3 linked regions of the Bombyx mori genome follow. The protein of the gene in region 2 interacts with the protein of the main gene of each other region in a pairwise test. Links are inferred from orthologs where the notes say so. Each region holds a gene or a part of one and is shown on either strand. Other genes may lie near its edges. The genes, in order: slowpoke-binding protein, 14-3-3zeta and Golgi phosphoprotein 3 homolog sauron.

The links.
Region 1: the proteins of 14-3-3zeta (region 2) and slowpoke-binding protein interact in binary tests that used the Drosophila melanogaster proteins (3 or more experiments, as listed by UniProt). The link is inferred for Bombyx mori from reciprocal best matches to the Drosophila melanogaster genes 14-3-3zeta and Slob.
Region 3: the proteins of 14-3-3zeta (region 2) and Golgi phosphoprotein 3 homolog sauron interact in binary tests that used the Drosophila melanogaster proteins (3 or more experiments, as listed by UniProt). The link is inferred for Bombyx mori from reciprocal best matches to the Drosophila melanogaster genes 14-3-3zeta and sau.

What each region holds. Positions count from the first base shown.
Region 1 is NC_085109.1:12,643,792-12,648,242, reverse strand, and holds the start of slowpoke-binding protein, read right to left. Parts: upstream 2,883-4,451; 5' UTR 2,444-2,882; coding exon 2,143-2,443; intron 259-2,142; coding exon 129-258; intron 1-128. Other genes in the region: mitochondrial 2-oxoglutarate/malate carrier protein, read right to left, coding at 3,377-3,578, 4,179-4,300. UniProt on the Drosophila melanogaster protein: Regulator of calcium-activated channel Slo. Increases or decreases the voltage sensitivity of Slo, depending on the absence or presence of 14-3-3-zeta in the complex, respectively.
Region 2 is NC_085111.1:7,657,810-7,662,191, forward strand, and holds the start of 14-3-3zeta (14-3-3 protein zeta), read left to right. Parts: upstream 1-1,570; 5' UTR 1,571-1,803; intron 1,804-2,224; exon of another isoform or gene 2,225-2,259; coding exon of another isoform or gene 2,260-2,475; intron 2,476-2,672; 5' UTR 2,673-2,815; intron 2,816-3,003; coding exon of another isoform or gene 3,004-3,252; intron 3,253-3,616; coding exon of another isoform or gene 3,617-3,861; intron 3,862-4,123; 5' UTR 4,124-4,206; intron 4,207-4,358; coding exon of another isoform or gene 4,359-4,382. Other genes in the region: mRNA turnover protein 4 homolog, read right to left, coding at 2,260-2,475, 3,004-3,252, 3,617-3,861, 4,359-4,382. UniProt on the Drosophila melanogaster protein: Required in Raf-dependent cell proliferation and photoreceptor differentiation during eye development. Acts upstream of Raf and downstream of Ras, and is essential for viability.
Region 3 is NC_085111.1:10,440,781-10,444,904, forward strand, and holds the start of Golgi phosphoprotein 3 homolog sauron, read left to right. Parts: upstream 1-1,324; 5' UTR 1,325-1,646; coding exon 1,647-1,832; intron 1,833-1,922; coding exon 1,923-2,070; intron 2,071-3,008; coding exon 3,009-3,107; intron 3,108-3,801; coding exon 3,802-3,977; intron 3,978-4,124. UniProt on the Drosophila melanogaster protein: Phosphatidylinositol-4-phosphate-binding protein that links Golgi membranes to the cytoskeleton and may participate in the tensile force required for vesicle budding from the Golgi.

The sequences.
Region 1 (4,451 bases), on a different chromosome or scaffold from region 2:
TTGCAATTATATTCTCTTCATTTCTATTTATATTCCACTTATTATATATTCTATACTTATTATTTCACTTATTAGTTTAAGTATTTTTTTTGGGAAACTTTATTCACCTATTATAAATTCTATATTACCTTGGCGAAGCTGTCGGTTCTGATGGAGATGATTTACCAGAGCCCGTGCCAATAAGGGATTTGTTGAACAGCAATTTCGCCAGGGAGTCTATCTTCTGTGCCACGAGAGGTGCACGCTCAGAATTCTCTTCTAAAAGTACAATAAAATAGACACTTCAATTTTTTATTATTATTTTAGGCAACTATATATAATATATTTAAGTTTTTATAATTATTCCTGTGGCGTGATAATGATAACTATTTAAACAGAGACAAACGAAACTTAGCGCATCCGATCTAAATAGTTACAGTTGTAAATGGACAACAGCAATAAAACAGACTTTACACTCCACTTAGATTTACTTATCTAGGTCCCTTAATCAACGTCTTAAGGTTTGAAGAAATCTTAATTCTTGTATTTAGTTCTCAAGTAAAATTTCGAAAATTTCCCTAAAATTTTATAAATTTTCCTTACTTTTTGGGATTTTCTGCGGTACATTGTCTATACATATGTTGTACTTTTTATTATTCGCATATTGTTAATAATAAAAAGCCAGGCATAAAATTAGAAAATAAGCAACATCGTATCGTAAAAAATTAAATTTAAGATCACATTATCGTAAATTTTTCCAGGGGAGTGTGACTCTTCTGTGAATCGGTTGTAGAAATTATTTTAACATTACGTTCCATGGCCATGGAAAAAATTGTGTTACTATATCCCAATTGAAATATATGATTTTGAAATCGAATAGTGCACGTTGCCCAAAACACGTCATTGCGGATCCTCCCGATCCACTAACGTTGCTTTTAGGTACCTAAAGCACCGGTCATCATTCTCGTCGAACCCGTCGCTTACGACGAAGGGTTCGACGAGTAAATCAACCCACAGATACAGCCCACCGAATTTCTCGCCGGATCTTCTCAGTGGGTCGCGTTGCCGATTCGGTGGTATATTCTGCGAAGCACGGCTCTTGGTAGGGTTTGTGTTAGCAACATCATCAGGTTTGAGCGCCGTGAGCTCACCTACTAGCTCGGCCAATCTAGAATAACCCCTCGAGGTTACTAGAACAGGTAGGGAAAAAAAGCAGTCAGCAGAGGTGTGTAGGTCTGAAGTTCATTATCAAAATAAATTACGTAGATAGGTACTTGAACTACAAGCGCACGAGGATGCCTCTCCTTCTTGCTTTCGGCCTTCGTCCGTGAGCGAAACAAAAAAAAATACAGGAAAATCAAACAGAAGTTTACCAAACACCTTTCTAATTAAACTTCTGAATTTTTCATACGCACCAACAATTTATAAATAGTTGAGAGAAAAATCAGGTTCGAACCTTTTACTGGTTTCATTTTAATAAATGATCAGAAAGAGATAAATTTGTGTATGTGCAAAATTCCTATTGCTACTTATCTCTAGTCTACAACACCTAATGCAATTACCAATATACGCCGGGCATTACGCATGCACATTGATATGTTCAATGCGTTTAGTGCGAATTTTTTAACGTTCTCGACACCGTAAAAGTTAAATAAAATTTGTATGGATTTGGAACGTTTGTCTACGTTTGCCGCTAGGAGCGCTGTTTCAACTGCATACCAATTTGAGTTACTTTTACGCTATCGAGAAAGTAAAAAACTCACACTAAGCACACAGTTCACTCAAATGACATGAAGATATTGTAAAGTTATAACAGTTTCGAAACTCATTTTATGTGGCAGTTATAGAAAATAGTATTCGTTTGTGGGGGTTAATTTGCAAAAAACAGCTGACGCAACAGGGGTAAAGCGTTTTGGACTCTCAATGAATGAATATTAGCATTCAATTTCAATTTGAAACATCTAAGTAGAAGTTATTTGCCTACTATAGAAAAAGATTTGCATCTGCAAACCTAATACTTCTGAAATCAGATTGTAGATTGTAAATTTGACTGCAACAATGTTTTAATTACTTTCAGTCAGACACATTTTAATGATTGTATAATAATAGTTATTTTTTAATGTTCCTTAATTGAAAATACATGATTTAAAAAGGTTTAATTACCTTCACTTTCTTCTCTATCTGTGGACACGGAGCGTATACGAAACGCATTCCTTTTATTAGCAGCCGCAATGGATTCAGGGTTGAGTTCGGCTGCAGATTGGGCCCGTCTACAGGCGCCGCGGCGTTTCTTCTTCCTATAGCTGGTTCTCGGACGTTCTTGATAGAACCTGTCGTGCCCGGTAGTCTCTGGTTCCTTTTGCTCCTTGTCTTCGTTGTTGGACTTCATGTGTTGGTATAGATTGAACATTTTGTTAGACTTCTTTCGTAAGAACGCTTTCAAACTCCAAAATTTGCTTCTCATCAATTTCGTTATTATTATTTTTTAAATGCCAATAATTCCAATATCAACACACCATCTTAGTTCAAATAGATGAAACGCTAAATGCTACGTCACGAATTTCGCTTTAATCCAGATACGCTTGAATTAAGGACGAGAATCGAAAGACGTGTGCATCGCAGACCGCAATTCGCTCGTAACTCATACAAAAGTATGTCAAAAGGAACTAATGGAAGCCCCTGTAATGCCGCATTATCCGCGAGCACATCTATGCGTACGATATTCCGATGTCGGTCTTTATGTATGACTTTATATATTTAATCCAATACAATTACGCGACAAGGTAATGTTTTATCGGAAAAAAGGGGAATTATCCACATTCTAGAGAACACAAAGATTAATGCGACCACCACATGCCGGCTTCTCGTATCTGAAAGGTCTTTTCTGCCACTTGTGTTATAATTCTAGAATGAACTCTACAGTACTTCCTTAGAGTTATTTTGGGTAAGCAGCAAGATGGCAGCATGACTTTACTGCTGCTAATGAATACTTTCTTACATTAGACGACCGCAGTGTTCTTCGCCTGTGACATTTAAGAAAACAAAAGTGTATTTTATAAAGTATTTGTATTGTATAAAGGAGCTTAGGTTTGTCTTTTTAGGTTTTTTTCACATAAACTATTGCCAATAAATCTAAAGAGTAAAATTTGCAAACAAACCAAAGTAACTATGGACTTGCACGTTTTAGATCTAAACATTTTGGGGACTTCATTTGAACTCGTCAACAATTGATTTAAACTTCAGCTTAAAAAATTCTAGATCGAATCAGCACGACAAATACTAGAACTTCAAGAGACAGATTATAAAAAGGCCATTCACTTTGAGCCAATGCAAAAACTAGCAATTCGATTAAAACATTCCAGCACGGAGTCCATTCTCTTCGGCATCTAAACAAGCCTCATCTAAGTTTTCTCTCGTGCTCTTCCCATTTCTGGTACATCTCGAAAAACTGCTCCAACAGATAGAAAGTGATGAAGGTGTGAAAAGCCATCCGCAAATAGTACGGTGTGAATCCTCTCCACAAACCAAATATGCCCCTATTCCTCCTTGTGTCCGCCAAAATTTCCTTCTGTGTTACACAATCACTTCTAACTTGGTATCTGTTTGAGAAAATAATGTAAGTTAATTGTTATGTAAATGCATTTATTGTTAAAATTTTACTGAACTCTCCGGGACGACTGTATAGGAAGAGGTCTCGGAGCATCTGGATTAATTATTACTTACTGGTGGTAGGACCTTAAGTAACGACCATTTATCACCAGATGGTGTCTATATGCTCGTTTATCTTAGAAGGTAATAACCAAAGCTAAAAGTTGAAGTAAAAATGGCCGTTTGATGTTTTTGAAAATGTTAATTCATAACAATAATTGCATTTTATATTTAAAAAGAAACATTAGTGGAGAGCACATGGAGCTTGGCCATTTCATCACCCTGTTTAATGCTTTTTTTCTTCTTTTTTTTATGATTGAAGGATTACTAGTAGCCCGGAGGCCTTTCTAGTTTCACCAGAACGTGGACGAGCACGGCCTCAGCTACCAGGGGTGGGATTTGCTAACAGCTACCCGAGCGCCTCCAAAGGAGACCCAACAACTCAAGGGCAGCTGCTTTGCGAATCAATCTATGTTTAGTGCTGCGGATAGGAGGTCACATGCCCGACCCTCATCACGACTGTACTCGATGCGTTCACGAGAACATCTAACCTAGTTTTAATGTGATCTATCGGCAACGAGATGACGGCTGCGATGAAGCTTGATATCATCGACGTGTAGAAATGCAACTCCAAACCTTTAGCCACTTTGTTTTCTTGTAACGCCCTGCGAGTCTGCGTGAAAACGACGTGGAATTATTGAAGAAAAGCAATCATTATAATGTAAATTAAAGGATATCAATTGGCAGGGATGCATTTTGGGCTTTTTAATTCATGCCCTATATTTTTGGCTTCATATCAGACTAGTCTGATGGACTCGCTTCTC
Region 2 (4,382 bases):
GTTGCGGGGTTTACGTAAGTAGATTACTTATATTTTGATAATTTATTGTTTTATTTTTCCTGTGATTTGTTGCAATAAATATCTTCGGGAGTATGACGATTTTTATTATAATTATGACGAAATCGCCTTTATCGAAAATACGGCTTTTACTAGTCCTTATATTATTTAATATTAGTTTTTTTCACTTTGAAGACCAGCCAATAATAGGAAGTATTTTCATCTCATTATTCCTTAGCTGGAGTCTCCATGTTCGTACCGTAATCAATACGTATTGATCGCAGAATATAATTATTTTCTTAATAAATATTTAAAATTGTATATTACAATGTGAAGATAATAATAATTTTGCCAGCGTGAAAGGTCTGTTAAGTGGCATAAGCACCAGAGAGAAGGGGTGCCGGGTGTTTAAGCCCTCCACTAAACACGACGAGCCACGACTAATGCAAAGAGTATAACATAAAGAAGGAATGGCCTACGTAGTGATATGTCCGCTGCACTCCTATTGGGTCATCCAACTATAGTGTTTCAGATCAATGCGTATTCATTAACATCTTCACGATGAAAAAATAGCATAGTGAAATAAAGTCAAACCCGCAATAAATTGTTGCTACGAGCTAGCTTTTAAGATATAATTATGGACAGTATTAAATTAAACACTTACACTTACTTTCTATATTATCGCGTTCGTTTGTGCTTATAAGCTCCCACGGTTTTAGAACGATCAAACCCTTTAAACGTTACAATTTCTTTAAATAGTAAGGGGCTTCGATTATCATTTGTAGTTCGCGTGGGCTCCATTAGAATGCCGTTGGTCAGTTTTGGTTGCGCTATTTGTTAGTGGGCTCAATGAATTTGGCCCCCTTTTTTTTATTTTCAGATTTTTTTTATTTTTAATTATTTGTTCGTTAATGTTCGAATGTAATGCTAGTTAGATATAAAATAATTAATAATTGGGAATTTAATTGTTTTTATGATTGAACAATCACCAATAGTCGTCGAACAAACGATAATTGATCAAAATTAATTAATCTAAGCGATAAAAATAAAGATATCTAGTAAGGAGGGGCAACTTAAGGGTGATCATTTGTTTAATTAATCATAAATAAATAAAAGACGAACAAAAAATTTTTACATTCGAACATTAACGAACAAACGACAAACAAATAACTAAAAATAAAAATAAAACAAAAATAAAAAAGGGGGCCAAATTCATTGACCCTTGTTAGTGCCATACAAGAAATAGCTGTCGCTGTCAATTTTTTTCTTGCCCTTGTAGGCAAACGAGCATACGGCTCCTCAGATGGTGAATGATTACCGTCGCTCATGGAAGTCAACAAAGGCTTTTGTAAGAAGAACCAAGCTGCTGCCTAAAAGAAATGTTGTTGGGCTAAACTTTCCTTATGGTCCGTCGATTTGGAAGTTCACAATTTTTTTGTAGATAGTACTCATAAATAGAAAGATTTCTGTAAAATTTCAAGTTGCGGAAACTCACGGTTTACAAGATACATTTTTATAGTTTCTATATAAATTGGAAAAATCAAGGTAAACCTCAAAGTTGACGTTTCACGTTCCATTTACGGTAAACGTGTATGTACTATATTAAATTTTATGTCATGTTTTTTACCGAAATATATTTTATTATTTTATATTCTATATAATTGATATAATATTTTAATATATAAGAATAAATAGCAATGCTATTTTAATCTAAAATTTTACTAAGGATATCTTCATGTCCATGAGGGATCTGCAGGTTGATGATGGTACAGGGGGTAACCCCGCGCAAAATTGATGGACCATAATGTAAATTTTAATCCTATTTTTACTAATTAGTGCTATTCTAACCTCAAAACATTAACCATGAATATCTCCGTAACCATGGGGTTCCGCGGGGTGGGGATGGTGCAGAGGGTAAACCCCTTACCCTCTCCCTCCCCCACTCTCACCCCGACCCAATAATCGACGGACCATAAAGGATAGTTTAACCCTGTACAAGTTAGTGACTGGCTGGTGTGCCAGAGTGTTCTTCTCTTAAGATTTTTATTATCTAGGATAACTTTATTTGTAGTACCTAACAATTCAAATTTAGCACAGTAAACAAGATAGTCCAAACAAAAATGTAAGCAAAACCTACACTTGAGTTTAAAATGAAGTATTGATAATTGGCAAGTAATTTTGCAGTATTATGTACAAATCATTCCTGACCTTAGTAAAAAAAACGTAATGCTTAACATAATTTATTGTGATTAAATAAAATAGTTATGTCTCTTCCATTATTTCGTCTACAAGTACATTTTCTTGATGATCATCATTCTCTGCCTGTTCTTCATCACTTGGAGAATCATTGTCTATATGGATACCTTTTCCTTTTGTCCAGTGACATTTAATCACTAACTTAAAATCTGCCATTTCTATGCCTATCAATTTTAATATACTTGCTTGTTCTGGGGTCAGTGGAGCACCTTTCTTGCAAACCTAAAAAATCAAAACGAATTTGCCATTATTACTTACACCACAGTAACTAAAACTTCAGCCTACATTATGTTTCGATAATGTCAACACTTTGAGGTATTAAGTAACACATAACTAATTACAAAATTTTGAAATTAAGTAAAATGTTGTGCTTGACTGCTGTACAACATATAATGTCTGTATTTTGGTAATTCTTATAGATTTTGGAGTTGTTGAGGCCGAAAGGGTTACAACCCCAGTGTGGATACTGTACGATAATCGGAAACGCTCGTCACAATGGCTGAGCCCTGGAGACCCAGCCAAATCCTGCCCTAAACGGAAATTGAATCAGAAAAAGTCACTTGTAAGTGTTTGGTGGACTAGCGCCGGTTTCTTTTACTACAACTTGATGATTTTTTAAATTCATATATGTTTCAAGTCTATTGATTCATTCACTTTAATCGATGTTTTTAAGCAGGTCTCTCACTATGAACACAAATGTTACCTATTAAAATAACTAAATATTAGTGAATACTATGTGTTTCACATTACCTGATATTCTTTTATTAGATTGATAACACCTTTTTCTAGAGATGTAGGTAAGCCCAAACGTCTTAAATGTGGCTCAATAGTGTGTGAAAAATCTGCTAGAGGACCTTTGGGTAATAAAACATCTTTTGTTGCAATGAAGCCAGCTCTTGCATATTCTGATGCTTGATAACTTTTAAACCAGTTCAGTACATCAGGCACATCTCTATTTGTCATTAGCAATCCACACTGACCTTTTAATTTTTTTGATAACTGTAACATAAATTAACTTTATTTAAAACATTTAATGCGCTAAATGATAGAAGTTTATTATTGCTGGATGTCACAAAAATCCAATAGCTTTACTTTTAACTCTTACTGTCTTTATTAATTTTCAATATTGAAGTGCTTGAAGACATTATTTAGACAGGATGCCATTTTCTAAGACAAATTAGTAGTTTCTCTCTCAAATTATACTTATAAATTGTTCACAATTTAATAATTTATGTTCTCCAGATATAAGATGATGAAATAAGTAAGTCAAAGTCAAAGTCTTCTAAAATATTTTGTTGATGATAGATATCCAGTCTTCACAATTCAGCTTTACTCAAAACTAAATTAAGCTACATACACTCACCAGATTTAGTTGCTCTTCTATTTCATCACTCTTGGTCTTACCAAGAGCAATAGCCATTACTTTATTTTTTCCAAAAAAGAATCTGGAATCCTTCCAATCATTCCGTAGGTCCTTTAATTTTGTATTTCTCATGTTATTGATGGTAAACAAAAATATGTGTTCATATTTGCTCAGTGAATTTCTTATTTCTTCTATGACTTTTTGTTTGTGTACTAAACCTTTTTTGTTGGTTTTTGTAAGTGATACTGAAATCAAATATTTAAGGTATGATATACTGATTTTTTTCACTGAAATTGTAATAATTATTATATTTATATGATTGTAATTCAAATGGTTAAAAATGATTTATTTGCTTAAGTACTCGCTTACTTTCATTTCAAGGCAGAAAATGAAAAGGATTTTGCGAAGGCTATTATGATACTGATCATTACTTGAAACTTGGATGTTTTGTTTCACATGTGCATGATACTGCATGGAAAGCTGTTTATATTTTAATCACCTTTACAGGCTGTTCACTATCTTCTGGGAGTTTTAGAAAAGAGAATAGACTTTCCTAGCACACCTAACCCCTTTTTGGTGACAATTTTAAGGTTAGAACGATTTTTTGTAGTGTCGCATTCGTAAATTAAATCTACGGAATACAATCTATTTTGACATCCAAATAATGCCATAGGGTACCAAATTTAACCCTAAGTTCTGTGATTGCCACTCTGCTAAAGTATGATTTTAAAAAGTCACTTACCTTTCTTATCCCTTTTTGATTTCG
Region 3 (4,124 bases), about 2.8 Mb from region 2:
TAAATATAGAATATTTAACCTTTCTCCTCCGCTTTTTTCTTTGTTTTTTGTGGAGATGCCATGAACGACATTTAGTGTTCACAATTTTATGTATAATATTTAAAAATAGTCTCTTTTTTGTTTTCAAAATGACTATATCAAAAAAAAAAATGAAAAAAAAAAAAATTTTTGGATTTCAATGATCATGATCGAATTTTGATCATTGGTAAAAAATATACAGACGAACCACAAAGTGATCTTATCTTTTTTCTGTACTTTGCGCCTGGTCAAAAATTTGTACTTTATCGACATGTTTAACCTCGGCTAAACTGGGTGTAACTGGGTCGCGACTTCTAAACACCAGATATAGCTTAAGTACGTTTGCGTACATGCAGAAGATGGTGTCAGAATTTCAAAAATTTGGATATCGGGGACTGTGTTACGATCTCTGAATTTATAAACTGCATCGCTTAATGTAAGTTACGAAAGTCTCTGCAGATTCTCTGAGGAATTAGCCGAGATTAAATTAATCTATTCACATGAAACTACATCAAATATATTCTCCAATAAACTATAGTATGAGATTATTTCTTCCACATAATCGGTCTTTCATCAAAATAGATATCTTGGGGAGAGATAAAATGTTTCTTAAACTATTAAGCATTTATTTTTAGTAACGAAGCATCACCTTTTTAGTGCAATATATTATTATGTGAAAACAGGTTATTATATCCTTCTACAATATATTTCGTAATCTAACCATTTCATCCAATGCAACACCATCACAGTCCCACACCTCCTGTCAAATCAAGTTCTTCTATCTGATGATAGTTTCTGTGACTACTGGGGTTTTAACGTGAAATTAATTTTAGATTCCGGAAAAGGAATCTGCTAGAATATCCAAAGAAGACAGCAGGCGCTGCGATGCATAGTAAGTGGCACAACTGTCTTTTAATTGTCCGTACTGTCGTTAATACTGAAGAACCTGATCACGATAATGGGAAAATTTTATTAATTTACTCTATTGCCATCGATTCTCGATAACTATACGAATTTAAATTAAATCCAAAGCTTTAAACTGAGTGAAAGTCACTTTCAAAGATACATATGTACACACCAAGCACATAAAAACTCGTTAAAATAATACCTCTCTGTGGGGTTTGTACAACAGTATAGTAGCATCACTCTGAACCCTTTAGGAAGCTTTAGGTATTGAAGATTTGAAAGTAAATTCAATGTAAATTACAATAAAGTAAAATAAGTCGCAGCCCAAGTACTCAGCTTGGTACTCGACTTCTTTGGATACTCGAGATTGTACTCAATTTCTGGCTATCCGAGTTGAGTTCTTTCTTAGTATTGTAGCTTGCAAGTGCAGTATACAAATACATGAAAATTTCTAAAAGGTATTCAAATTCATTTAATTCGACACATTGCTAGTAAATCAATCAATCGAAATGATTTGAATAATATTTGCAAAGATGCATAAAATTACACACTGAATGGTTCTGGTGAAAAGGAACGTATAGTCGGCCATGTTTTCGACAACAACATCACGTCGCAACGTAAACGTCAACTTGACCATTCATTTACAATTTTTCGATATAAATATAGTTCTTTCTTGTGAAATTAATTAGTTTTAGCATTTTAAAATATAACTTAATGAGAATATGAACCGTACTGAGGGTTTAGTGCAACGAAGAAATGTTATAAAGGAGAGTAACACAGACGGACAGAAAGAAAATCACGACAACGATGATAAGAAAAATGATAAAAATTATGATGACGGAGATTCCAAGGAAACTAAATTGACATTAATGGAAGAAGTGTTACTGTTAGGGTTAAAGGATAAAGAGGTGAATATTTACATGACTAACTGATCTGATAAATACAATGGCATTCCAGCAGTCTAAAGATCGTGACATGCTCATCTTCTACCGTTTCAGGGTTATACATCATTTTGGAATGACTGCATATCCAGTGGTCTAAGAGGATGCATTCTAATTGAACTGGGCTTAAGAGGACGACTTGAACTGGAGCGAGCTGGAATGCGTAGGAAAGGCTTGTTGTCTAGAAAAGTGATTGTAAAGTCAGGTAGGTGACTACTGCTCAAGTTTAATTAACAAACCCATATATCTGTTTTAAAAGTGACGATAAAATTTTGAATATTCTAAAGTACTCATTAACAACTGATCAACACTGAAGCTAAAGGTACTATTAATGCTAAATTGATTAAAGCTATATTTTCTCACATAGAATATCCTTTTTGTTCCAGAAAATGCATTTCTTTAACCTAGTATAAATATAGTAAAAAAGTTGACAATTTAATTTTCTTTCATCCAAATTACAAATATTGAAATTTGAAAATTGTCTGAAAAATTAATCACTACATCCTAAGTTTTGTTTACATAATATATTTTCTAGAAATTAAAATTTATAAGCTATAAGACTTAGACTAAATAGCAACCACATAACATCAAATGAGCCATAAGGATGTTGAGTAGTCCTCAATGTTTAAAAAAAAATTGTAATCTTTCACACTTACACAACCTCAAAACCATCTATTATTCTTAGTATATGGTGAGCAGATAATGATGAACTAACAGGGGATTTTTTGTGACAGACGAAAATAAACAATCTTACTAATTATTTAAAAAAACAAGCTATCAATAATTAACTATAAAAGAACTAAAGTATCAGCTTGAATTGAAATTAATTTTGATAACATTTAAAAAATACATTAGCAAACATTATTTTATTGATAAAATATTTTCGTAGAAATAGTCAATATTTAATTTTCTTTTATATTTAGAAGCAAATTATTTAAAAATAATAATAATAATTAATAATAATAATTTATTTATTAACCTTGATACATTTACACATAATAATTTATAATGGTTCTTGAAACTTGTTGTGCAAGATACTCTAAAGCAATTTCAAATTCTAATAAGCAAACAAAATTAATTATTTCACTATCAACAAGCTCTTCTTAAATTACATTGTAACAAAATAAAATAAAAACATTTTAGATACTTTAACCGGTGATGTTCTGCTAGATGAAGCTCTGAAACATATGAAAGATACTGACCCTCCAGAAACAGTACAAAGCTGGATTGAATATCTGAGTGGTATGTAAATATTTATGATTTCAAATGTTACAGTTGTGCAACAAATATGACATTTACCAAGAGCTTAGAGTTTATGTGTTGTGAAAATTAAGTTATGCAATTTTATCAGGAATTGTAACTTTGTGTTTTGGAGGGCAATAGATCCAATTTCACAGTTTTTGAGAATTGGAAATAAGTATGTTATAATCTTGAGAAAAAACTATGGTTTATGTTAGTCAATATTTCTAAGAGATTTTAGCTCTAGGCAGGTTTAGAAACTTGGCAGTAGATTTTAGTATAATACCAATAAGTGGTTAAATTAAATGTTGAATAGATTAAAACTCCTAAAAATTATTCAAAATAAAACAATAAATCTTTTTAAATAGAATAACAGATTTAATTTTATTTTACAACAAATTGGCTTGGCGCAATTGCTTTCCAAGGCAAGGATATTTACTAGGGTTTGCCTACTGATCAAAATTCAAGCATAATTTCTGGCACCTTAACATCTCTTCTGCCAGAAGCTGGAATGGCACCTTAGGCTACCAGCGAATAGGTGGGGAAAAGTGTTTAAATTCTTATATATTACATTTATTTGCTTTATTATCAATAGCCACCTCATAAAAGAAATTATACTTCACTGTTTGGCCGTGGCCTATTTATATGAAAATATATGGAAATGAGTTTTAAAGATGTAGATGGACAATATTTTTAGGTGAAACATGGAATCCAATGAAACTGAAATACCAGTTAAAGAACGTACGCGAAAGATTGGCTAAAAATCTGGTTGAGAAAGGGGTTTTAACAACAGAAAAACAAAATTTTCTTTTATTTGACATGACGACACACCCTCTCACAGATAATGTCGTTAAGTGCCGTTTAGTTAAAAAGGTAAGTCAAATAATAATGTTTTGATATTTAGTTATTTAAAACCCTTTATTATTAAAACCAGCTACTTCAATACACACCTGCCAATTAACAACAGTAAAGCTGATTGTTTATAAATAATTTGCAATAATAATGTCGTTACCATTAAGG